Drosophila melanogaster: one gene and its partners. Changing the gene in region 2 together with the main gene of any one other region gives a genetic interaction. Each region holds a gene or a part of one and is shown on either strand. Other genes may lie near its edges.

Region 1 (8,181 bases), on a different chromosome or scaffold from region 2:
AAATAATCGAAAAAAAGCATAAGGGGATACCAAGGCGGATCAGCCGCGTACACACACACGCACACACCACACATACACGCATGGGTATACTCGTACATACTACATATGTATGTGTATGTGTATTTATAGAGAGGTATGCTAATCCGGTAAATCAATTGATGTGCGCCGCGGGCGCTTATAAAAAAGCGATATAAGTTATTAATTCAAAACAATGGTCAGCAAAGGAGCCAAAAAGTCAAAAGCAAAGGCAAATGCCGAACGAAAACGAAAACGAATTCGAATACGAATACGCAAAAACAAAAACAAAAGCCGGCGCCGGCTTCAGAAAGAAAAGTCCTAAATTAGCTTCGATAATTGATGCCAGTTTCTATTTATTAAACAAATCACACCTGCGAGAATTGGCACTTCAAGGAACAGGACCTTTCCCCACGATTGCACTGATATCCCATCTCGACGGATAGATGGCCATCCATCATTTCTGAAGGTCGTCCAGACATTGGAACTGCAACTGACCTCCATGGTAATGACGAATGGGATGAATGCGTTTCATTAGCCCCACTTGTTCGACACCCCGCGTTTCGACTCTCGATCCCCGATCGGTGATCACTGATCACTGGATCTACCATTTCTCCGCGCTATGTAGAAAGCAAAAGCGGAGTTAACCGAAAATCAAAAACCGAAAGCAAAGCCCAAGTATCTTGACCCTCATTAATTCAAGTAAGCCAGCAAGGCATTCGCAAAAAAGGTGAAAAACATAAGAAAAACTTGAAATTTACAGTTTCAGTTTCAGTTTCAGTTTCGATTTCAGTCTCATGTGGCGGCGGGTTTTCAGTTTGGGGATGGGAACTGCAATTAACATACGAAATTTATTTAAATTCAATCTTCATTTCGGACGCGAGTCACCGTCACCATCACCGTCTCCGTCTCCAGCTTCACCTGCAACTCCTCTTGGCTTCTTGGTGCTCGGTGAATGTTTTCACTTTCGTTCGGCATCCCAAAAATCCGAGTCTGTGTAGTCTGTGTAGTATGGAGTCTGAAGTCTGCAGTCTGGGCATCCGCCGGCAACCTGTTTTGGCCTGACTGACTGCCCGCTTACCATGATTATTGTGATTATTGGCTGGCGGTCGAGGGGAAAACTCTGTGGCGCTCGTATCTCGAATCTGAGCGAAACCCCAAAACACACAAATTGAATAGGAATACGAAAACGAAAGTGAAAATGTTTATCGAAAAGGGAAACGGGGAAAAACAAAGCAGAAGATCAGCAAAGCATAGATCGTGCGCTGCCCCATCCCGCATTTCCTAGCACTCTGTCGTCCAGTCAGTCCAGTCAGTTCAATGCCGTAAATTAAGCTGGCAATTTCTTGCTTTGTTTGTCGGTGAAATCTGCCTAACAAAGAAAACTCCTGCCCCTGCCGTGAGTGCGTGGAAAGCGGTTGGACCGTGTTGAGGATGGTTGGGATTGCCACCTCCATTGCCGAGTGGGGCAGCGGGTCAGGGAAAACGAGCTTGACCTTAGGCCCCTGCCGAACGAAACCAATCGCGATTCCAAACTAACTGAACCTCACCTTGTTTTTTCGCGGCGGCTTCTTGACTTCAACTTGCACGGCTGTTTGCATCTTCCTGCCCCAGAACTGGGTTCTCAACTGGGCAAAGTTTTTGGCCGAGATCCGTATCTTATCCAACTCGGTCCAAAATATAGCTATATTTGCCTTGCTTTGCATGTTTACTTGCTTTGACACTGACAATGATACGCCATCCAAGATGCGGAGATACTCAGCGAAAGAGTGGAAGAGCAAGGTGGCGGGGAATCTTATCACAGCTGATGTGATAATTACCCAGAGCAAATACTGAGATACATGGTATTGTACTATATATATGGAACTCCTCGTTTAAGGTGTATTTATCGTTTAGATTTCTTGTTCACATATAATTTAAAAAGAATGTTCATCGATCGCTTTCAGCTCATTTTATATAAACGAGAACCTAATATGTCCCGATATGGTTACCTTTAATTGCTAATTGCTTGGCTTATGTGCCGGACATCCCATCCACATCCGATCCACGAACAAATGCGTTATCAGCTGTCAGATGGGCACTTTCACTCGGAAAAAAAAAGGCGAAAACAAAGGAATTATGCTTTTCCAGTTGATTAGTCGGGTCAGCGGCGGCTAATTCATGTCCGCATAAATTTCAATTCAAATCTCTGACAAACTCTGGAAAGTTTCGGAGCGTAGGTGGCCCGCAAATGGATCGCATTACATGCAGATACTTTGGTATCTATTGCCATTAGGAATGATGAAGTAAGTCAAACAAGACGGCCAGCTGGAGTGGAGTAGAGTGAATTGCATTGGATTGGATTGGATTGGATTGGAGAGCAGCGGTCTCCGAATCCGAATCCAAGTCCAAGTGGATTAAATCGAGCTGGAGTGGGGACTTCACATGCAAATCAGGCTGAGACAGGAAATTATTACACACTTTTCCCAGTCTAGTTTTGGTCATGTGCTGGTGGTGCCTGGTTTCGGTTGCTTTCGCAGCGATTCATTAGCATTGCACGGCTTCCGTATATGGGCTCCGAAAATGTATAAAGTGTTCGTGTGCGGCCAGGCCTATGCCCAATTGCTATAGGGTTATATGGCTATATGGGTCAGAGCTTCCCGTGTCTAGGTAGTGATATCAATCCGTTATCGGGAATCAACTTTCTGTGATGCGGTCACCACAATCGAGGAGACGGGTGGCCGGAGACCTTGGCGGTCTGTCTGGATTTGTCTAGGGTTCGGATTACGGACTATGCCATATTATTATTTCATACACTATAAATACACTATAATGCAATAGATATATTTTTTTTTTTGTAGCAGACTTTGGCATAGCCCAAGAAATACTAGCAGGCCTTGCAGCCTCAAGCTGAAAGTGCCACATATAAATAGCAGGTAATTGGAGGTGAGCAAGTGTGAAGCCACCGGTTGAGATAATTTAACTATCCATCCAATGACTTGGCCCACATTCCAGCTCCAGTGCTCGTGAGAATCGAGTCCGTCTGCTGAATGCCCCCGTATCGCCTCGAACTACTCCGTGGGCTAGGCCAATGTCAGTCTGGCCTAGCTAGCCTAGAGCCTAGAATCCGCCAGCGGCTTGCGTCATAAATAAGGCGGCCACAGGCCAGACGAACCAGTTCGCGAGCGGGTTTGGCGGCAGTTGCAGTTGCAGATGCAGAAGCAAACAGTTGGCCGAGATGCAGATGCTGATGCAGATGCAGATTATGCAACCTGCGCATTTCGTGGAGAAAGCTCAATGGAATTCTAGCGCAGATTGCGGTAGTTGACGTCACAACGGAACTTGCCGTTAATTATTGGTCATTCGTTGGGGATAATCCCTCCAATCGCGAATTATGATAGCCCCCATTCCCTGCCCCTTCCCGTTGCCCAACTCCCTCTAGGCGTCAGTGTGTCGCCAGGAAGTAAACTCAGCGCAGCCCGAAGTGGAGCTACAAGTCATTGAAAACCCACACAAGTAGAGCGTAGGACAGACAAGTGGTATTATGACATTTCCCAACCAGCATAGAGGTGTTGTGTCAGTTGAGTTGGTGTAAAATATGCGATAAATGCCATTGCTATGCTGTGCAGTATTTGTTCTTTTTCCTTTCCAAAGCCATACATACATTTCGATGGACTTCAGTCAGCTGGGTTGCTATAAAGCTATTGCAGTTGCAGTCTTCTAATTTCATGCCGAATCCAAGCCAGGAGCTGCTTCATTCATCGCAACCAATAAGTGCTGGTCGAGAGTGCGAGAATGGGATAGCATGGGATGGGTCTTGAGAGGATCCAGCAGAGGCTCGACCGTTCAGATTGCCCAACTCTTACCCCCCATCGGCATTTCTACACTCGCACACAAGAAGGCAACCGAAAATTATTACTAATTAATTATTGTTGCACAAACAGCAGACGCCTGGCTGCAGTGCACCTCGAGTACTTTCGGTACCTCCAATACCGATCCCATCCCGCCATATAATTTGCCGAATTGGACGTCGGCCACTTGTTTGTTTTTCGTTTGATTTTTGTTTTATGTTTGTTATGCGGCGCGCGGCATTTCGTCAGCTCATTCAATTGAAGCTCATTCAGCCGCACTTAAATCAGGGGCGAAGTGAGCGGGGGAATTGGTGGATTGCGGGATGGCGGCCAATGGGCACTTAATTTCGCTGGAGCGCATTTCACTTTCATTTCCACACAATCAAAATACGTCGAGTACCCGGGCATCGGACATCGGGCATCCGAGCATCGGGGATCGGGGATCGGCGATCGGAGAAGGGGGACTGGGAAAAGTGAGGCGCAAAAATTTCAATTTCATTTTATTTATGAGCGTCTAGGCGACACTTTTGAATGCAAATGACGTTAAATTGTTGGTCAAGTGAGAGCGGACTCTCGCTGCCTATTCCCCCTTTTCCCTGCCCCTCATCTACTTCGCCCCCCCCCCTCGATACGAGGCTCACAGACAGCAGGTGGAAAACCTTAGAGGTGCAGCAGGGAACTGCGTGACGAAACCAAAGCAGTTAAGAGGGACTTACCCTTCAGCCAATAACTTTTCTTCGAAATTGCAAAAGGGGTTGCGAAGTAAAAGCACAGAAGCTAGACAGACTTCCTAACCAAACAAAATAGTTTATGAATATAACAATAGATGTATTAAATGTACAAAGTATTCGAGGCGACAGTGTAGCAAATAGTTTTCACACCATTTTACTGGGTTGCACAAAAAGCGATTCAATTTAACGAAACAACCGAACCGAATTCGTGTAAAGGTCCACTCTTTGGCAGGTTTAAGTGGATCGACCCAGAGACCCACTAACGCCCCCAAAAGCCCAGAGAATCCCTTGGCACTCACCGTGTTGATCTTATCCATGAGGACACTCATTTGATTCATGCTCGACATAATGATACTGCTCTGTAGCACTGGAATTCGAATTCAAAAACTATAACTATAGCGTTGCAAGTCTCTTCTGCCGCGGACTGGGATGCAGCACCAATTCGCACATCACGCACTGCTCATTGCCAATTCACTTGATGCAAAAAAAAATTAATCCGAAGAAAAAAAAAATTTTAAATTGACATACAAAGTGTATTCAAACAGTGTTCGTTCGCTTTGCGAAAAGCACACGCGCGCGCGTATTTCCAATTTCCGATTTAATCAGTTCGACTTCTATATAGCCTATAGCCTTAGGTTTTGCTTTCCATAGCCGGTCTCTGTCTGCCGGATGACTTGACCCGCTCGCGTGCGTTCTTATCGACGGCTGGCAGCGCATTGAACGCTCGCCGCTCAAGACGTGCCCACGGCAGCGGCGACTTGGCCAAAAGCAACACGACGAGCACGAGCACGTCGCCGCGGCAAGCCGAAGAAGTTGGCCAAGACAGAGTGGCAGCGACAGGTGCCAGCAGAGAGCCCGAGAGCCGGAGCGGGCTCCAACGCGAACGCGAAACCGGTCGACGGCAGAAAGCGGGCTCTGAGCCTATTCTGTGCCTAATGCCGCAGACCCCACTGTGTCCCAGTCTCAGTCGCACTCCCGCCCGCACACCGCTCGCCTTGGCTCGCGGATTGGGGCCGCCTTGGTGGATAGTGGGTGGTGGAAGGTGCTGCATTTCCATGTGCGTGCGGGGTGCATTCCTGGGGTATTTATGAAATCACAAGGGCTGAGACACTTGAAGAGATATCGAGGTAATTATGGGTGTGAAACGAAGAGCTTACTGCTACGAGCATTTAGAAGACCAAGCGGAGCCTAAGGTCCACGATACTGGAATACCACCTGCGATTCATTCCCAAATGCAATCCAACCAGTGATAGTTTAACTTCGAAAGGAGACAACTAGCCGACCAATGTAAAGGAGTTGGAAGCATGAAACCAAGCCAAGAAACAATTGGACAGCCGAACTGTCTATCGAACAACTTAATTAGCTCTGGCAAATCAGCCGCACACAACAGACAATTGTTAGTCCGCTCGATAAGTTGTTCGGCAACATGCACATAGCCATGTTCACCGGTAACTTTGGCAATTGTGGGCTCAAAGCCGCCAGAGTCGAAGTCAAAGTCAAAAACAATTTAAGGTCGTCACAAGTAAAGTTTGTTATTCCCTCTCTTTTGTTTCGATTTTGCAAGTGTCATGCAAAAAATAAAATATCATGGCAATACCGCCGTGTAAAAACACCGCCTCTGCCCCTCTATCTCCACTTCCCGATTTTCAGCAACGATTCTCATCATCTCTTTTTTTTATGTAACGGTCCTTATTAGAGCCAATGTTGTTGTCTTATACCGACGATCATTGGCCAAATACCGAATGCTGACGGTCATTCAATTTGGAGTCGACGGCATGAGGTGGCCATCCGTTCTTTAGCTGTTTTGGCTGGATATTCGCGCCTTTTTTTTTTAGCTTTTTGATACCCTTAACAGTTGAAGAGGCAAATGCTATTATTATTTTAAAACCAATTTGATGGTGTAACCATCTTCTACCACGTCTAAATTTTGATCGTTGAAAATAGAAGAGCGACTATTCAATGATGTATCATACTTATATTTATGGGCTGTAAAGCGCACTCATTTTCCGATTTTCTAGACCTATCGAACATTTACCAACTGCCTCCTCGGCAGCGAACCGTCTTCAATGACTTCTTACTCACCTGTTGTTGCTAATTGGCTTCGTTGTTGGGATTAGTCTTTGGCTGCAAGTGGAAAAGAGGAGAACGGCGAGAAGCAAATTAGTAGGAATCCGTCATAGTCATAGGTAGTCGGAGTGGTAGTCTCCCTATTGATTAATGCAATCCTCACAGCCCGAGCCAAATCGAATCGACTCTCCCATTTCCCATCTCCCATTTGCTACTCGAAGGGCTTTTTATGGGTGTTGTGCCAACTCATCCGAAAGCCACCACGCTTCGATCGCAATTACTTGGCCATTATGTGATGCAGCCAGACATAATTTCCCATTAGCAGCTTTTTGTCGATGGGCCAAGAAAACGTGAGCATGAGGCAGTTCGTAATCACTCAAAGAACCCACTTCATTTCCCTGGCTAATCTGATTTGGTTCGCCCCTATCTCCAGGCACAACCTCTGCCCAGCCCCTTTTCCATTTCCAGCTAATCGCAGATGCTCCTACTTCATCAAGTCTGCCTCCGCCCGAAATCTTGTAAAATCATATCCATATCATTTTTGAGCTTGAGCTGACGAAATCCTAAAGTACAGAGAAGGTGTTTAAAAACATTGGTTGAAAGTGAAATTTTGCCCACGGCCGCGTCGTCTTCAATTTGTTTATTTTCGGCTGTTTAAATGAGTTTTCAATTTCACTAGAAAGCATGAAAGTACGGCCTTTTAATATTCTTGCCGGGCAGAAATCACAGCGAAATGGAGAAATACACAAACAATTTATCCGCCTGTTGGCACCTGACATGAATGAGTCAAACACAAGTGTTTGCTCGCCCCGTCCTTTTCCTTCGGACTCTCTCTCTCTCTCTTGCGCACGCCCACTAAATCACAAGTGTGAGTGACGAGTGGAAAGGGTGGAAAGGGTAGGGTTAGGGGTGCAGGTGAAGGGCGCGATAACTGATGTGATGCGGCTAATCTGCTTGCCAGTTTCCTGAGCCTTCTAGGGGAAAATCAAAAGACTTAAGCAACGAACTTGGGGAACAACGCTAAGGAAACAACAAAGCTGAGTAAAATAAATCTCTCGATGAAAGTGTATTATAATAATCACTGACAGCTGCCTCTCCCAGCGGCGGATCACCCGCATCTGTGCCACTCGCTCGCACATCCGTCAATTGGCCCGACTCTTTCCGGCTTACGGATTTCTGATTACGGCTCAGCGGCCCGCGGCTTCTTTGGCCAAAACGGGCGAGGAGTTGGACGAGCGACTCTGACAAATTGATATGCACATTCGGCGACATTAGCATATGTCGCGTATGCCTTAATTAACTATTCCGCTCAGCTAATATCGGTTTCACCCACCCCACAAGGGGCGTTTGGGGCCCTGCTGGTAAATTGTGGACTTGTGGATGACTTGACGCACGAGTATTTCAAATTTTTAAGAAAGTCTCGCCAGCACTTCCCATATGAAAGTTTTGCTCAGCGGCGCGGGTTGAATGACTCAGAAATCAAAATAAAAACTAAAGATAACTCTATAGTCGAGTGTCGCGACTATTAGATACCCGTT
Region 2 (7,969 bases):
AAATAACTGACCAAATGTACTCGAAATTTGGAGGTGGGTGTGGGCTTCTCCTCTCTTTTCCGAGGGAGTGGAGGTGGGACCTGGGAAAATCTCCTTGGGAACTGCAACAAGTGAATGGAAGCTAAGCGAGCGTCAAAGGCCAAGAGACGCCTGACATTGAAATGTCGTCTTGTTGTGTCACGCCTTTCAACCAAACCAATACACACTTTGCCATGCACTGCGAGAAATCGTTGGGGAGTGGCCCTTTTTTAGTACCACTATTTGTGGTAACATCCATAACTCTCGATCTTTTCAAACTAAACAACTCGGGTAAAAAACCTATCCGGTATATGGTATATATATTAGTAACGAATAATACAAGTTTTAAACCCTAAAATCAAAAAATATCTCAGTGTAGTCACACACACACAACACACGTTTCAGTGGCTGCCAGTGAAATATATGTTTGGACTTCAAGAGGCGCCACCGCGTTGACAGCTGTCAATGAAAAGGGGGTGAAGGGCGCAGGGATCTGTGGGAGTGGCTGGTGGTGCGGTGGGCGGTGCGGTCGGTGGTCCAGGCGACGGGATAGTGGGTGGTGCAGAGACAGCTGTCCCTGCGCTGATTAGCGCTGTGGTTGGCCGCATTTGCGGAGTTCGCTGGCAAAATTCAAAACAATTTAATATGCCAGCTAGCGCAATAAAATCATCGGGAAAATCGCTGTGGTCCACGACAACCAGCGGAATATCCGTGGCCAGGCTAATCGGGCGGAAAACTCTGAATGGTTTTCCCCGAAAACATCACCAACTACAATAAATCCGTTCGGAGCTGAGCTGGCCCCTCACGGATTCCAATTAATCTCCGTTCAATATTATGATGTCTAATCAAGAGAATACTGGACGGGACAGCAGGACAATGGACGTTGGAGGCCACAGGAAATTCCATTATCCCAGCAATCTCCGCATGGGGCTCATGTGTAATATGGATGTGGTGTCCGGTTATGTGAGTTTACGGCTTGTTGCACAAATTAGCATGCCCCATTTGATTGGAACGGCGGAGCTGAGCAAAGATTTGCTTAACTACATTCCAGTCGGCAGGAATAATATGGCCGAACTTTCCGACCGCAAAGTCGCTCGTTTGGGTGTTTATTAAATAGTGGTGCATTTCCATAATGTTTGCATTAAATGGCGCATAATCAGATAATTTAATAATCGCAAATTGGGCGTATTTGATGTTGAATTTTCAGTGACAATAGATTGAGAGTTCGATTTTGTTGAAACTAATCAATCATGAATATTCTATGAATATTTTATTCAATTTAGTCATTCTCTTTAATATTTATTGTTTAGTTTATAAGCAAATACACAGAGGCTTGAACCATACCCCGCACCGCACAAATTACCGTCGTTTAATGAGCTAATCAAATCAGGAAACAACGGTGAAATCAACTGTGAAATTTATGACAGTTTTCCGCTTCGCCTCGAATTAAGGATAACGAAAGGCAGTGGGGATGGGGAGTGGAGAAAGTGCCCGGCGTATCTCCGACTTTATTTAACTAATTTTGCATTTTCAACTCAAACTCGACTTTGGTCACGTATCCCTGCGGCTGGAACTTTGACCTGTTAAGCGCATAAAAATGACAAAAACGGTACGTGACTCATTAGCCGCTTTCGCCCAGGAAATGCCGCCGGGAGAAAGTGAGCGGGGAAAGCTGGCTTGGGCAGTTCAGCAGTTCAGCAGTTCATGAGCTTCGGCAAGGAAACCGGACTTTGGCAGCGCAATTAGTTCGGCAAGCTGCTCGGAGCGAGGCACATACGATCCTGTTTTGTGTATATGGCAACATATGCCCTGGCAGCAGCACATCCTTATCCCTGCCCCATTCGCAGGACTCCGGCTGGCTGAGCTCATGCGTTTTCATTTCCATTTCGGGCCCATAAAAACGGCAAAACGGAAAAACGAGAAAAGGCCGAGAGGCCGACCCAAAAAGAAGTAAATTGCAATGCAAATTTAATTTGGCTGCCATAAAACTCGACGAAAGAAAAACGGGCGGTGTTTTGCTTTTCGCCCGGCGAGGGGCGAGGGGGGCCAGACAGTCGTAAAACAGCGGCGGGAAAATCGAAGACTTTCTGCGGGGTTTGGGGTGGGGTAGCGGTAGTGGGGAATACGGGTGGAAGTGCGTGGCCGCCGCGCCAAGCCGGAAATGCAATTTGTAATTTTGTGCAACGATTTGTGGCAATTAATTGCTGCCCCACCACTTGCACCACCCGCCCCATGCGGCACCACCCAACTTTCGCCCAGTGCGCGCCAGACCGCAAGACACGGAAACCTCAATATTTATTTTTTGTTTCGCCTTCTTCTCGATGTTTTTTTTGTTTTTTTTTTTTTTTGGTCTGATACTTGTTTTTTTGCCTCTGCATTTGTTGGCGGCACAGAATTTATTGCATTTAATTTTTTTGCCATTTCTCTTCGAGTGTGGGGATTTTTTGGCATAGCTCGGCATCGAGTATTTAAGTGATTTCTGCTTAATAATAATTTAATTCCCAGCTTTTTTTATACGCCATGCCATTTGAAATCTTTTGTGATAATTTGCGCCGAAATCAAACAGCTGCAAAATTTGTATTTTTTGTTGGCTTTCCCCCGGCAACGTCGCCTATAGAAAGTGTGGCCGAACATATACATACATATGTATATGTGTATATAATCGCCTATATGTCCGTCTATATCTGTGCCGCGGTGTGTGTGATGTATAATGTATGGGAAGATTTATAATATTCGTGGGACCGTATAAACAATTCGCTAAGACGCACATAGAGAAATGGCACTTGGTATAAATAATGTATAGCCAGAGTTCGCCATGTTTTGGCCAATTTCACAAGCGAGGAGACCAGTACGGCAGAAGATCCCTTCAGAATATGAGAATAATGATTTATAGTCTTTCATAAGCCAAACGATCGGGGGTGGCCAACTATTGAGGAAATCATTCAGTTTTGGGCGGATTCTTTGGTTTAAACTTGTAGTTCCGTAAGAATATTTTCGGAAATATGTAAAATGGAATGTCATTTACTTTCGCAAAAATATGCGATGTTTTTATATAAATTCAATGCAAAAACAAGATGTTGTTTTGCGGCATATATCCCCCCACCAAAAGCTTGGTAAACAATACTTGAATCGAAAATATTTTTATAAAAATTTCCATGCTTAATAAATTTTAACGAACTGTTCTTTAAGTTGATTGCGAATATGCACTTAACATTAAAGCTTTTGGAAATAGTTTCCATTAAGAATTTCCCAAGTTCCCGAATTTTTATAGCTTCTTGAACGGTTTTCAAATTCAGAATACATATTGATTTTCATGGCTATTCGAATTATGTTTGTACTCAGCACACGCACAATAAGTTAGTTAATGGATAATGGCGGCTATTAGATGGATCCATGGGTCAGAGTTCACTCACCTCAGTGATCTTCATGGTGCGCTTCACCGTTTTGCGGGTAACTTCGGTGGTTTCCTCCACGACATCGCCATCCTCATCGATGGTCTCCGTTACCATTTTCTCGGTCTCGCCGGGAATCACCTCCTCGGTGTGCTCGGTGACCACGCTGGTTTTGCTCTGGGCATCGGGTTCGGGCTTGGTCTCCTCGGCGGAGCCACCGAAAACATCCTCAATGTCCGACATTGTCTCTGATTTATATCCTTTTCGATTGGAGTCGAGCTGATTCACTTGGCTTTCTCTCACGTTCTTGTGTTCACTTTCACTTGATCACTGGATCACTGATCACAACGATAACACATAACACGCAGAATTGCTTGGGTTTTCTTCTTTCTTATTTTCTTTCTTTTAGCCTGAAAAATACAAACGACCAGAGCTAGAAAAATGAATATTTTTTGTATATTCCGCTGGGCTTTTGGCAGCCGCTGGTTATTATATAAACAAGAGGAATTTCACGGCGCGCTGGTTTTTTAGTAACTTGTTTTCGACCTAAGGGCGGTATATTTAGAGGTACTGTAGATCCTTCGTGGTTTACGCAGATGCCTGGAGCCTTCGATCCTCTCGGGAAGTGCTCGATTATCGAACTGTAAAAACGTAACGTCGACCAGCGGCCACGAAAGGCGCGACAACAACGGAGAACGGAGAATTACGGAACAATGGGACTACGGAAGAACGGAACAATGGGACAACGGAATAACGTAGAGCCGTGGTGACAAAAGGCGGATAAAGCGAAACAAGTTGAAAGATGGAGCTATCGAAATCCCATCACATCACTTCAGCCTGTTTCGAAAACAAATCCGGAATAATTACGGAACAACGGAACGCACACGAGGCGAATTACACGATCACGGGTCTTCTACTTGCTGCCTCCGTCCTAGCTTCTTCTAATTCTTCTAGTTAGAATCTTCTGCCGTCTGCCACCGGAACCGACGCCGGAGAGCAGAGCGAGACGGTCTGAGTTCCGGAGGGTCTAGTGGGGCAGAGGCCCCCAATGTGTTAGCCGCAGGTGCGAGCGGGACGGCCCGAGACCCCCAGCGCTCGGGAGAGCGCCAGCAATTCTCCACACTCTCTCCTCCACTCTCACTCTCAGTTCTCTGCCGATCTGCTGCCGCTGCTGACGTCTGCTCAATTTTGAACGTTGATCTTCGTCGCGTTTCAAAAGTTTTTTGTTGCCTTCGTTCCGATCTTTTCTACACTGTGTGCCTCTACACTGAGAGAAAATCCTACCAAATTGGATTTACATTTAGAAAGCTTTATTTGGTAAAAAGAGGAAACTATCTGACAATATTTCGTATGTTAAAAAGTAAAAGTACAAGGCTGTGATCCCACATGTATCCTAATCCTTCCGAAATTGAACTCCAGAGTTCTATAAAATATCAAAATATCTGCAATGAAGTAAGAAGTGAGTTAACCATTTTTCTGAGTGCAGTATTTCTGTTCTTTCTTTGAGCAAATGTGAAATTTGAATGCGAATGAGTTCGCTCGCTAATTGTCCGCCTGTTGCAATTTCTTCGTTTGACCAGGCGAATGCAATTAGTGCGGCTGCCGGACGTCTGAGGCCCGTCAGAATGTGAAACTCCGCCGTGAAGTGCCAACACTCCTCATTCGCCATCTCATATGGTCTGTACTCCCCTTACTCCGCATACCCCCTACTCTCCATACTCCCCGTCAAAGACCCACGCACTCTTCTCGTCAATGTGCGTGGAGCTATTTTGGGTGGATTTAACAATAGACAGAAAAAAGAGGCAGCCAAGGATGAAGATAGTGATATCTTCCGACTTTGGAATACCTAAAAAAGAGATTTTGATAGTAAGAATAGAGTTTTACAATAAGAATTATAGAATGTTTATTCAAGAAGTAAAAATATCTTATAAACTTGAATTTAGATAGATTTTAAAATTAATTTACAAACCAATTTGTCCACTCTATCAGAGGGACTTACTATCCCCATAAGCCCGTGTTGCATTTCCCTTTTTCCAACATTTTTTTTCCAATAAGCCCAGACATCTCATCGATACCCTCTGTGGGCAAACAACTCTGAATCGGGTGGAATACATTGGGCTGATCCGGCTGGCCATTTGGCCGGGCGGCATTTGACGCCGTCTTTTCCTTTTTCATGCGCTTTTCTTTTTTTTTCCTTTATTTTCCGTTCGTTTTTTTCCCTTTTTCCTTTGCCGTGGCCAGCGTTCGATGTGCGAGTGGAGGCAGTGCATCACAGCCAGCGGGGCCTGTACAGGGTGCCTTGTGGCAGGGGCATCTGTCGGAAGATGCCCATCTCAAGTGATTTCACCTTCTGCCTTCTGTCCGATTTCTGATTTTGTGCTGATTCCGATTTAGATTTTTGATTAGCGAACGCTTTCAATTGCTGGCATTTGGGGGCTTTAGTTTTGACAGCGATGTGCGGACTTCCTGTATCGCATCGCGGACTGCACAAGATATATGAAAGACAAGTGTTTCGAACGGACCCCCGGTTTTCCCCGCAGCGCTGTGTAAACAAAGCGCCAAGCACACGCAAGACGGAATATTCTAAAATTAATTCTCGAAAATGTCTTTTCAGCTCGGCAAACGCAGCGACATGATGCGGGACAAATGCCTGAATATAGATACATCCAATGGATGTGTCTCTGATGAGCAAATGCAATTATGTGGCATGGGATCAGGGGCAGGGCGGAGTTGCGGGCGCTGGGTAATGAATAGAGCCACGAAATAGAGCAGCAAACTCCTTCGTATTCCCCTCTCGACGGTCCTGTTCTGCATCTGTGTGTTTGGATGTGGAAAACCACACTGATGACAGACAAGCCACGGCAGAGGAAGCCAAAGGATAACATGAGATAACACACATCAAAAGCCACTCAGACACCCACACACGAACAGCGGGGGTTAGGCAAATAGGATGGGTTTTAAGGTAAATAAGGATAATGATTAATCAGTCATATGCAATGATATATCTGTATGATTTCATTTTGAGATGCGGTTTATGTTATACTTAACTTACTTGCTATAACACACTTTTAATGCATTTTATTCGAATATGTTTTAAGTGCTATATTTTTGGAGCCCTCTGTGGATGCACGCACATGTGCTCCCCATCACAGCTGCTCGTGATCCTTTGGCGACGAGAAATCAGCGCTCAAATATGATTAATAAGTAATTTCTTTGTCAACAAGTGACTGGGGATGGCCTGCTATGACGACAGCGGCGATAACGACAACGAGAATGAGAACGGAACGACGCCATGGAAATCTTTAATAAAATACATGCATAAATAAATTATAGGGCAAGCAGAGGCGAGGAAAAACAAACTGGATGGAGATGAACTGCTCTGAATGGAGGCAAACTGGTAATAAAACAAAGCGGTGACGGCAAAGACATACAGAAAGATACAAGATACAAAGGGGTGACATGTGCAGCCGAGGCGTGACCGCACTTCCTTTTTTTCCGGCCATATATACAGGAACCTCTCCACATTGCCTTTTCCCAGCCACTTTTCAGAGCTCCTTGGCCTTGGCGTTTCCCTGTTTATTTCACAGTTGTAAATTGCACAAAGTAAATGAAGTGCTTTTTATTATAATCCAACAAGCTAACGTTGCCTGTTTTTAGCACAAAGAGAAAAGGAATATCTCAAAATGTTATTAGATTATATGAGAGTCATAGGTTCTCTGGAACTGTAAAATATAAATTTCAAATAGCACAGCGCAAATTCAAGTCTGCAGTTTGCTGTATTAAATTGATTGCCGATTTTGAATATATTTTTCTTTGTGTACTCCTCCCATTCCGAGCTTTTCCCTCCCTATATCACGAGTTTTCTTTGAATGCGGCCCGCTTGCCAAGTGTCGTTGACTCTCGCTGACCTAGAGGGAAAATAAAACCAAGGGAAATGCCTTGCCAAGATTCATGTGTAGATGATTCTGGGAAATGAAGAAAGTTTCAGTCTCGACATGCAGAAGCGGAAGGCCCAAAAACGATTTCTGTCAACTTCTGGAGAATTTTCATTGCCTGCCGTCCATTAATTGAGCTGTTGGAGGGCTGGTTGGGAAATTGCGGGAAATCGGGGAACAGCAGCTGGCAATCGACCGATGTAAGGTTCAGATTCGCCAGCACTCGACTTGTTTGACTTGCGATTTTCCTTTTAACTGAAGCGAAATGCAGTTAGCAGCAGCAGCCGGAAAGTGTAGAAAAAGACAAACACCCGGATAGTTGGATATGGATTGGTAATGGGCTGGGTTGGGAATGCAATTCAGGGGAAACTAAAGCGGAAACTGCAAACAGTAGGGATTCGCACAGCATACTTTTAGGTGCAGCTTGGCTGGAAGCAATGGAATGTCTCTAATCTGGTAGCCAACTACTCCAACTACTTCTACTACTACTACTGGCATGCATAAATCTGCAATGGCGAAGAATCTCTGGCCCCGCACACCCGGCGAATGAGCAATTTCCCAGCAATTCTTTGGCCATTGCCAATGTTTGCCCTGGCAAGCATGCTGCGGAAAATGTTCGCTTAT
Region 3 (8,226 bases), about 19 Mb from region 2:
AGTTTTTGGGGGCCAGATATAAAGTATGGCAAAAGTTAAAATTGAACTTGTTTGCGCCACGCTAAGGAATTCACGAAAATAAATGTAAACAAACAGCTCGCACGCAAAATACAATTTAAAAACCAAATTTTCCATGTGGGATGTACCCGAGCACACTCCTCAAAATTACAGTGAATCGACCGAGTGACTGTGTGTTTTTGCCAAATAAATTATAGTTTTTGTGTAACAAACAACCATGGAGTGAGAACCCAACTAATCCAAGATGACTGCATCTTTGTTTTCAGGCTATAGTCAGCACATGCAGCAGGCGAATCTGGGCGACGGTGTGGCCACCGCCCGCCTGCTGTCCCGATCCGACTGGGGTGCCCGGCTGCCCAAGTCCGTGGAGCACTTCCAGGGTCCCGCGCCCTACGTCATCATCCATCACTCGTACATGCCGGCCGTGTGCTACTCCACTCCGGACTGCATGAAGAGCATGCGGGACATGCAGGACTTCCATCAGCTGGAGCGCGGATGGAACGATATTGGTTATAGCTTTGGCATCGGCGGCGATGGCATGATTTACACCGGCAGGGGATTCAATGTCATCGGAGCTCATGCACCCAAGTACAATGACAAGAGCGTGGGCATTGTGCTGATCGGAGATTGGAGAAGTAAGTTAACTCCTAACTTTAAGAGGATAGATTTCTTTTTAATACCGTTTAAAGAGTCATGGAAACTCATTAGGTTGTTAATGAGCCTTCTTCCTTCTCTTCATTTTCTTCTTAAACTCCGTACTAATTACTTTTCCTTATTTTCCCTTTAGCCGAACTGCCGCCCAAGCAGATGCTGGATGCGGCCAAGAACCTGATCGCCTTTGGCGTTTTCAAGGGCTACATTGACCCTGCCTACAAGCTGCTGGGCCACCGACAGGTGCGGGATACCGAGTGTCCTGGCGGCCGCCTGTTCGCCGAGATCTCCAGCTGGCCGCACTTTACCCACATAAACGACACCGAAGGCGTCAGCAGCACCACGGCGCCCGTCGTGCCCCACGTCCATCCACAGGCGGCAGCACCACAAAAGCCGCACCAATCCCCGCCAGCTGCGCCCAAGGTCTAGGCTGGATTGGAGGGCCCTCATCGTCCTCGCAAAGCTTACGAGTTTAAGAGAAGCCACAACGAGCTCGGCTCCACGCACAACGCCAAGGAGTTCATTCAGTATTCATTAGATGTCTCTTCTAACATTTCACAAATAAAGCAATTTCTAGATGATAACACTTAAACATAACCCCCGCTGTTGCTCTTTGTGTCCGCACAATCGACCCACCGCCCCATCGCCCCCCGCCCGCGTTCGCACTTGTCAAATCAAATAGCAATTAATTTGTGTCAAATTCGATTTCGATGGCAGAAGTTTTTGGACGACACGCGGCGCTGAAAATGTCGGCGACCCCGGCGCATCGAAAGGTTTTTCCAGCCATTTGACATTGGCTCGCCATGCGAGGTGATGCGTAGTGGTTTTGGGGTCCAAAAGTACCCGCCAATCCTCACATGCGGACGAAACCATTCTGGGAGCATTTTGGGACTGATGAATTAATAAGACCCCGGGGGAAGTCGCATCATATTGGCATTCCAACCCACAGCGCAATTGCCTTTAAGCCTATTTTTAAAGCCCCCCAATACATATGCGCTGTATTTTGCCAAATGAATAAATATATAATTAATATTGCCGAAATGCTGTTAGATAGACGGACGGACGGACAGCAAAAAAAAAAAAAAGAATAGCAATGGCCCGTTTAAGCGGAAATTTCTCGGCTATTTTGTGTGCGCGGGAATGTTTGCCGTTCAATTTGGCATACTTTTCGGCTGATGCTGACAAGGCAAAACAATTAGTGGCGTGCTTTCGCGCAGATGTGTATAAAAAAACGAAATATTTGAAAACATGCCATTGATAACCTACATTGCACGTTAAATAAATATTTGCGGCAGTGGCATAGACTTTAATCATTTGTTTTCGCTCTGTTGCAGCTATTGGATTGATTTCGGCGGCAGCAAGTAACTCAGTAACTCTTTTTATCGAAAACGATTCGAAAATGCTATCAAAATTAAATTAGTTCAATCGAACACTCCTGTGGAAACTCGATATGCAAATGGCATACATTATGTTACGTTGATAAGGTGATAAGAGGCTTACTCACTGATTCAGCTTATATTACCAGTTCATTAGTATCATCACCAATCAATTAGTCTAGCAATAGTTCAATCGATAAAGGGGTCCCCAGCATACAGATACGCACTGATCAAACGATCGATCGATCGATTGCACCGCTCCACCGAAATGTGGAGCACACGCGAGTGAAACGGGGAAGCAACCACTTGGTAGACAATGTAAATATTGAAAGCGATTCGGAGAGAACGAACGCATTGGGACAGAACTGACCATCGAACAGAAGCACTAATGGGTTTGGACTTTCTAGACGAGTGGTTTCTATCACAGGGTAAGACGCACCAACCACCCATCCACCAAACCACCCACTCCCCCTGAAATTAGCTGCGACGCCCACGCCGCCCGAGAAACTTGCGTAATTGTGGTCCATTGAATGCGAGGCGCCTGATAAGAGGCCCCTAATGATGAGCGGATATCGAGGGGGTTGTATCCTTGGGGCACACGGGCCACATAGCCAATAGCCGGCTATTAATAATTCCATTGAACTGCACCTGCCATAAGGTCAATTGGATCCGCCGCGGATCCGCCCCATATCCCCCCAAACCCCCACAGACCGTGCCCACATATCAAAAAAGATGCTAAAAATATGCCTCTGTCGGTCAACAAAATTTTCATTTCACTTCATTTTGTGCTCACCGAAATACGACGAAGAGATAATGAGCGAAATCCCACGAGAGAGGAATTCGTAGAGCGAGCGGGAAAATTTTCAAATTTTTCACCCATCGCCGTGGCGTTGGAAAATGTATGAATTTAGTTTTTGAAACGCCGTCATAGGCGCTGCTGTTGCCTTCGCTGCTGAAAATTCACTACCAGAGTTCGTGGCTGTGTGTGTGCGGGTGTGTGTGTGCCTGCGGTTGTGGTGATGTGCGGGTGTCTGACCCAACCAGCACACACGTACAATTCAAAGAGATATACAACATATATATATATATATGAATATATATCTGTGCAATATATAGTACAACGACGCGAACGTGCTACGAAAACTGCAGCGAGCGCGAATGAACCAATTAATACACATAATAAAAATCTGAAAAATCCGTGAAATATCCAAAAATATAGCATATAGCCACAGACACAGATTCGTGTACATTTGGGCGGCAATATGCGCAGCTCTTGTCACTGGCCAATCGATCTAATAAATCTCTCTGGAGGGGCGTTATGAATGGCCAGTTCCCAAAATATCCCGTCCGATATATTTGTTTTTTTTTTAAGCACTTTTGTTGACAGGCAATCTTAGGATGAAATATGGCCGGGAATTAGCTGTTAGTTGCCATTCTGAGCACAGATCCGCGAAACTTTTGCGTCAAATTAGCCAGTCTCATTAACAATTTTAATTGAAATTGCATTTTTGTTTCGTCCTCGCCTTAACTATCTTCTGGAATCCTCTGCAATGTTCGAAATACAGTCGTACTTCGATATAACTTCCCTTGCTTCGTGTGCTGTCAAATGGTCAATGGATCTAATTTACGAATCTGATTCAATTGCCAACCATTAATTAGTAATCGATAAGCATCGCTTAAGCTGGGAGTGGAAACAGCTTAGAATGCATTCAAAGCAAATTGGAACTGACAGATAGGCAACCAAATAGACGTCGGAAAAGATACTTTCGTCGGTTATTCTTGCAATGGAAGTTTGACTGTATTTCTAAGTATAATTTTTATTTGCATGTCATGTTTAATTAACGCCTCCATGCAGGAAAGACCGAGAAAGTGTTCGTCGCTCCGGCCAAAAAAAAATTTGCAATCGCCCCAAAACGAGTGGAATGGAAATGAATATGGTGAATGTGGGGGAGGGATGGGCTTCGACGAAGGGGGTTGGATGGTTTTGGACCAGGCCATGGAATGGCAATGGAATGAAACGAATTCGGATTTCATTCTGACCCCCGAGAGCGCCCCTTCTATCACAAATTTTTGGCCTTTTTTTTCCGTCCGTACAACCAGTTTTGTGTACGTTTTTCTGTCTACTTTGTGAAACGAGCCAGTTGAATAAAAACAAAACAAAGTGAATGGAAAAAAAGGCGAAAGACGAAAGCGCCAGAGATATGTATGTTTCCTTTTATTCTTTCGATTTGGTTCCGTTTTGTCTCTCCCAATTGGGTGCTTCTCTTCACCGCCAGTGTCTTTCACTTTTTTCCACTTTTTCCACTCTCAGCGGCGGGCACAAAGAACCTAAAATTAAATATTTTCGCCTTTTACATATCGCAGCCAGTGGCAGAGCAAATCGTTTCTGTTATTGTTTTTGTTGCTCTATTCCCATACACCGACGCTGTTGTTGCTGTTGTTCTTTTTGTTTGTGCTGTTTATTGGAGTGCATATGTACGGACGGACGGACGGACACACACACATACGCAGGCGTTTAGCTGGACATTCACATTCACAGCACAGTGGCGGCCAACATAATAGTGGTCACAGAAAGTTGCAGTTGCAAGCGAGAGGAATGTTTCGCTATCCTTTTGCCCAATTAGAGCAGGAAAAGTTGCAAATTGTTGTTTACAATCTGCCCAGGAATGAGGTCATTAAAAATACATAGAAAAACGGCAGAGGAAAATCGCGAGCCAAAGAAAACTCAGCAAGAGCGAATAGTTTCCATCTTCTGCACTTTACTTTATCAGCATTAAGTCAAGCTATAACTTTTCTCGACCATGAGTAATTGATTTAAAATTCATTTTATATGTAAACATTTTTCGTTCTATCGTAATTGGTTTTCGTATGAAAGAAATATTGGAAATCACCAGCAAATGGCACAATATGTTTGTTGAATAGTTCGGCATATAATACTTTTCTGAAAAGTAAACATTCCCAAAGCATTTTCATTTCATCGTTTTCGTTCAAATTATTTAAATTATTTGACAAGTTGAAAGTTTATAAGAAAACCTTGTTATCTTGACGGATAGGATGATCTCGATTTTATCGATTGCTATAAATATCCTGGAATTTAAACATTTGGCTGCAACTGTAGGCGTTTTTGTGAGAGCCTGCAAAAGCATTCCACTCAGTTGGGATTTGTTGATGCATTTGTCCCGGTCCCCATTGCCGACCGCCATCATCCCCATATCCTCTCTACATTCCTATTTCCATCACATTCGGCATCTGTGAATGTCCCTGTCCATGACTATGACACAAAGGCCTACATTCTGTCTCTTAGTAGAAACAGCGACAGAAACAAGAAAAACAGCCAGCAAAGCTAATGAGCGCATTCAGTTAAAAATAAAATTCAAAATGAAACATACCCAAATATACACGAAATGAAATGAATTGAATCGGATTGAAAGTATCTCAAACAGCTGTTGCTCATCGTCGGCAACGGACCACGAATAAAATTCCCAGCAACAAATTCGCGACGAAAAAAATACATAAAAATCTATTAGAAAAGAAATACGCGTAAAATAGAATTATCAAGGCGAGGCACATACACAAAAAAAATCAAAAAACAAATAGAAAAATAAACGAAAAAAATTACGGAAAATCTGAATGAAAGAACTTTTTCGGACAACTTCCCCCGACGGTGCTAATGTGCAAAGTTTTGTGTTTTCATCAGCAGCAACGCCAAGAGAAGCGGGAAAAACAAGCAAAGAATTCACGGCAAATTATTTAAAAAGAGTGTGCGAACAGACGGGCGACGACATCGGGCCCTGGAGAATTTAACACCAATAAGACTGGAAAAAAATATAAACCACCAGAGGGAATAGTCTAGAATAGTCCGGAGGACCGCAAGCAGTTCGAGCGACTACGAAATGCCGTTTGTGACGCCCCGTGCGGGGACAAGCAGTGCAAGCAGTGCGCCCGGCGGACGCACCACGTTCCGTCCGCCATGGGTGAAGGACGACGGCGGCACCAGTGGCACCAGCAGTACCACAAAGCCCACTGCCACTCCGTGGGCAAAGAAAACAGCGACGACGACGACCGCCTCTCCGGCAACAAAGGAAAATGGAGAAAAGCCGACTGTGGCCAAACCAAAAGCAACTGCTACCACGACTGCAGCCGCGAGGAAGACTTCGACCCCTGAACCGGCTAAGAAGACGATAGAGCCTGTAAAGAAATCTTCACTGGCCACAAGCACAACGGCGGCCAAGAAGACACCAGAACCCGTAAATACCAAGAAAGCACCGGAGCCAATCAAGAAAGTGGCGCCCACCGTGGGGCCCAAGAAGCCAGTAGCCACCACTTCAGCGCTCAAAAAGAAGAAGGAGCCGACACCACCACCCGAATCCTCCTCCGAGGAAGAAGAAAGCGAGGAGGAGGAAGAGACCGAAGAGGAAACCGAGTCTGAGGAGGAGGAAAGCGAAGAGGAAAGCGAGTCCGAAGAGGAGGAGAGCGAGGAAGAGGACACCACCGTGGACGAGAAGGTGCCCGAGCACGTGAAGAAGGCGGCCCAATTGCGACCCACCACCGTGAACAAGAAGCCGGAACCGGAAAGTGAGTTGACCCAACGTTTTACCATGGAGAAACCCAAATTACGCAGCGTGGTGGTCAAGCGGGATAAGTCCTTGAAAAAGATGGCCACCGAAGACGACGACGAGGCCGAGGAGGGCGAAACGGAGGAGGAGCGCGACCGGCGGCGACGTTTCAAATTAGAGAAGCCCAAGCTGCGGCATGTCAAGCGCGAGGAGAAGCCTTTGCCCAGCAAGAGCACCGACGACCTGGCCAAAATCCGGCCCGTGCTCAAGAAGGTACCCAAGATCGATGAGCTCCTCAAGGAGCCGAAAGAGGAGCCAAAGCCCGAGTTCACGACCAAGACCCTACGCAAAGCGTCCATAAAGCGCGAGCCGAGCATCAAGAGCGGTAAGTTGTCCGATCCAAATCGATCCGATCCGGAGCCAGCTCCAGTGATGGAACCTAACCCGATGCCCGACTGGATTAACCCGATTAACCTCTGCGAATGGATCGACTCAACAAGCGCTGTAAATTTTTGCCCCTGCTTCTTTAATGTCTAATTTCTAACCAGAAATGTTTAATTTACGTTGCGGGCGGCTGTGGGGATATGTATTTTATATTTTTACGCTTTCTGCCTCTCCGATTTTCGTCGGCCCTGGCCAAAAGGCAAGGCCACCACTAGGGGAGCAGCAAACAAAACAAATAATGCGTCACCATGGCGGATGAGCGATATGTGCAAAAAAAAATTCGCATTTGGGATGGGAACGTGAGAATATTTTTAAAAGATTAGATGTGTCACAGTTAAGATATTTTTGGTAAATATTTTTTATAAGCTTAACGATTGAACAAACATTTAGGGGTTGTACGGGGCGTATGAGTAATATTTTATTATATAATATTTATTTTATATATATTTATTTGTTTTAAAAAACGTGCTTTTGTAATTACACAAAAGATTGTGATTGCTTTCAATATATATTCCGTTTAATGCATTTTAACAAAAATTACTCATACGCCATGAAAGCCGACGCACTGCAATATTCAGTTATTTCCTGAATGTGAGATGCCTTTTAAAAAGGATAGCTATCGTGCTAATGCTTCCGCCATAAAAAACACAACAATTAAAACCAGTGGGCATTTAAGCAAAAAATATGAAACTAGTTTGGTCAAGATATCCATTTCCATTGTAAGATTTAATTTCCAACGGCCAATACAGCTTCACGCTGCCATCAATGTCTGTAACCTGTCGCTCACAACCATCGCTGTCTGCTCATTTATAAAAACGCAGGAAAATATACGATATTCTAGTGTCTGTATGCAGAAGGCACACACTCGTATGGGAGGAATATGGGAATTTATATACTTGAAATGAATGTGTAAAAAATATTTCATCAAAATGTTTCGCCCAAACAAAAACCACAAAGCGCACACAGACAAGGGACGAGCACAACGAAGGAACGAACAGTGGGAAAAACAAGGCTATAAAGCAATATAAATATCATTTTTTATTTATTAAATTTTAGTGGGTGTTGTGCATTGAGCCGAAAGAGGCGCAAAGTGTTTCACTGCCTGACTGCAGTTGCGAGTGGGTTTTATTTGGGCAACCATCTCGTTTTCCGGCGAGGATCCATCCGCTCGTCGGTAAGGG

The links. Genes that interact genetically often act in the same process or in processes that back each other up.
Region 1: of tmod (region 2) and DAAM, changing one suppresses a phenotype caused by changing the other (phenotypic suppression), as found in Drosophila melanogaster (one study listed by BioGRID).
Region 3: of tmod (region 2) and sals, changing one enhances a phenotype caused by changing the other (phenotypic enhancement), as found in Drosophila melanogaster (one study listed by BioGRID).

Annotation. Positions count from the first base shown.
Region 1 is NC_004354.4:1,303,201-1,311,381, forward strand, and holds the start of DAAM (dishevelled associated activator of morphogenesis), read right to left. Parts: upstream 5,273-8,181; 5' UTR 4,924-5,272; coding exon 4,876-4,923; intron 1,646-4,875; exon of another isoform or gene 1,566-1,645; intron 1,161-1,565; exon of another isoform or gene 904-1,160; intron 1-903.
Region 2 is NT_033777.3:30,528,970-30,536,938, reverse strand, and holds the start of tmod (tropomodulin), read right to left. Parts: upstream 4,103-7,969; 5' UTR 3,957-4,102; exon of another isoform or gene 3,844-3,956; 5' UTR 3,654-3,843; coding exon 3,432-3,653; intron 1-3,431.
Region 3 is NT_033777.3:11,445,879-11,454,104, reverse strand, and holds the start of sals (sarcomere length short), read left to right. Parts: upstream 1-2,954; 5' UTR 2,955-3,016; exon of another isoform or gene 3,017-3,038; intron 3,039-5,742; 5' UTR 5,743-5,938; coding exon 5,939-6,986; intron 6,987-8,110; exon of another isoform or gene 8,111-8,226. Other genes in the region: PGRP-LB (peptidoglycan recognition protein LB), read left to right, coding at 285-653, 806-1,098.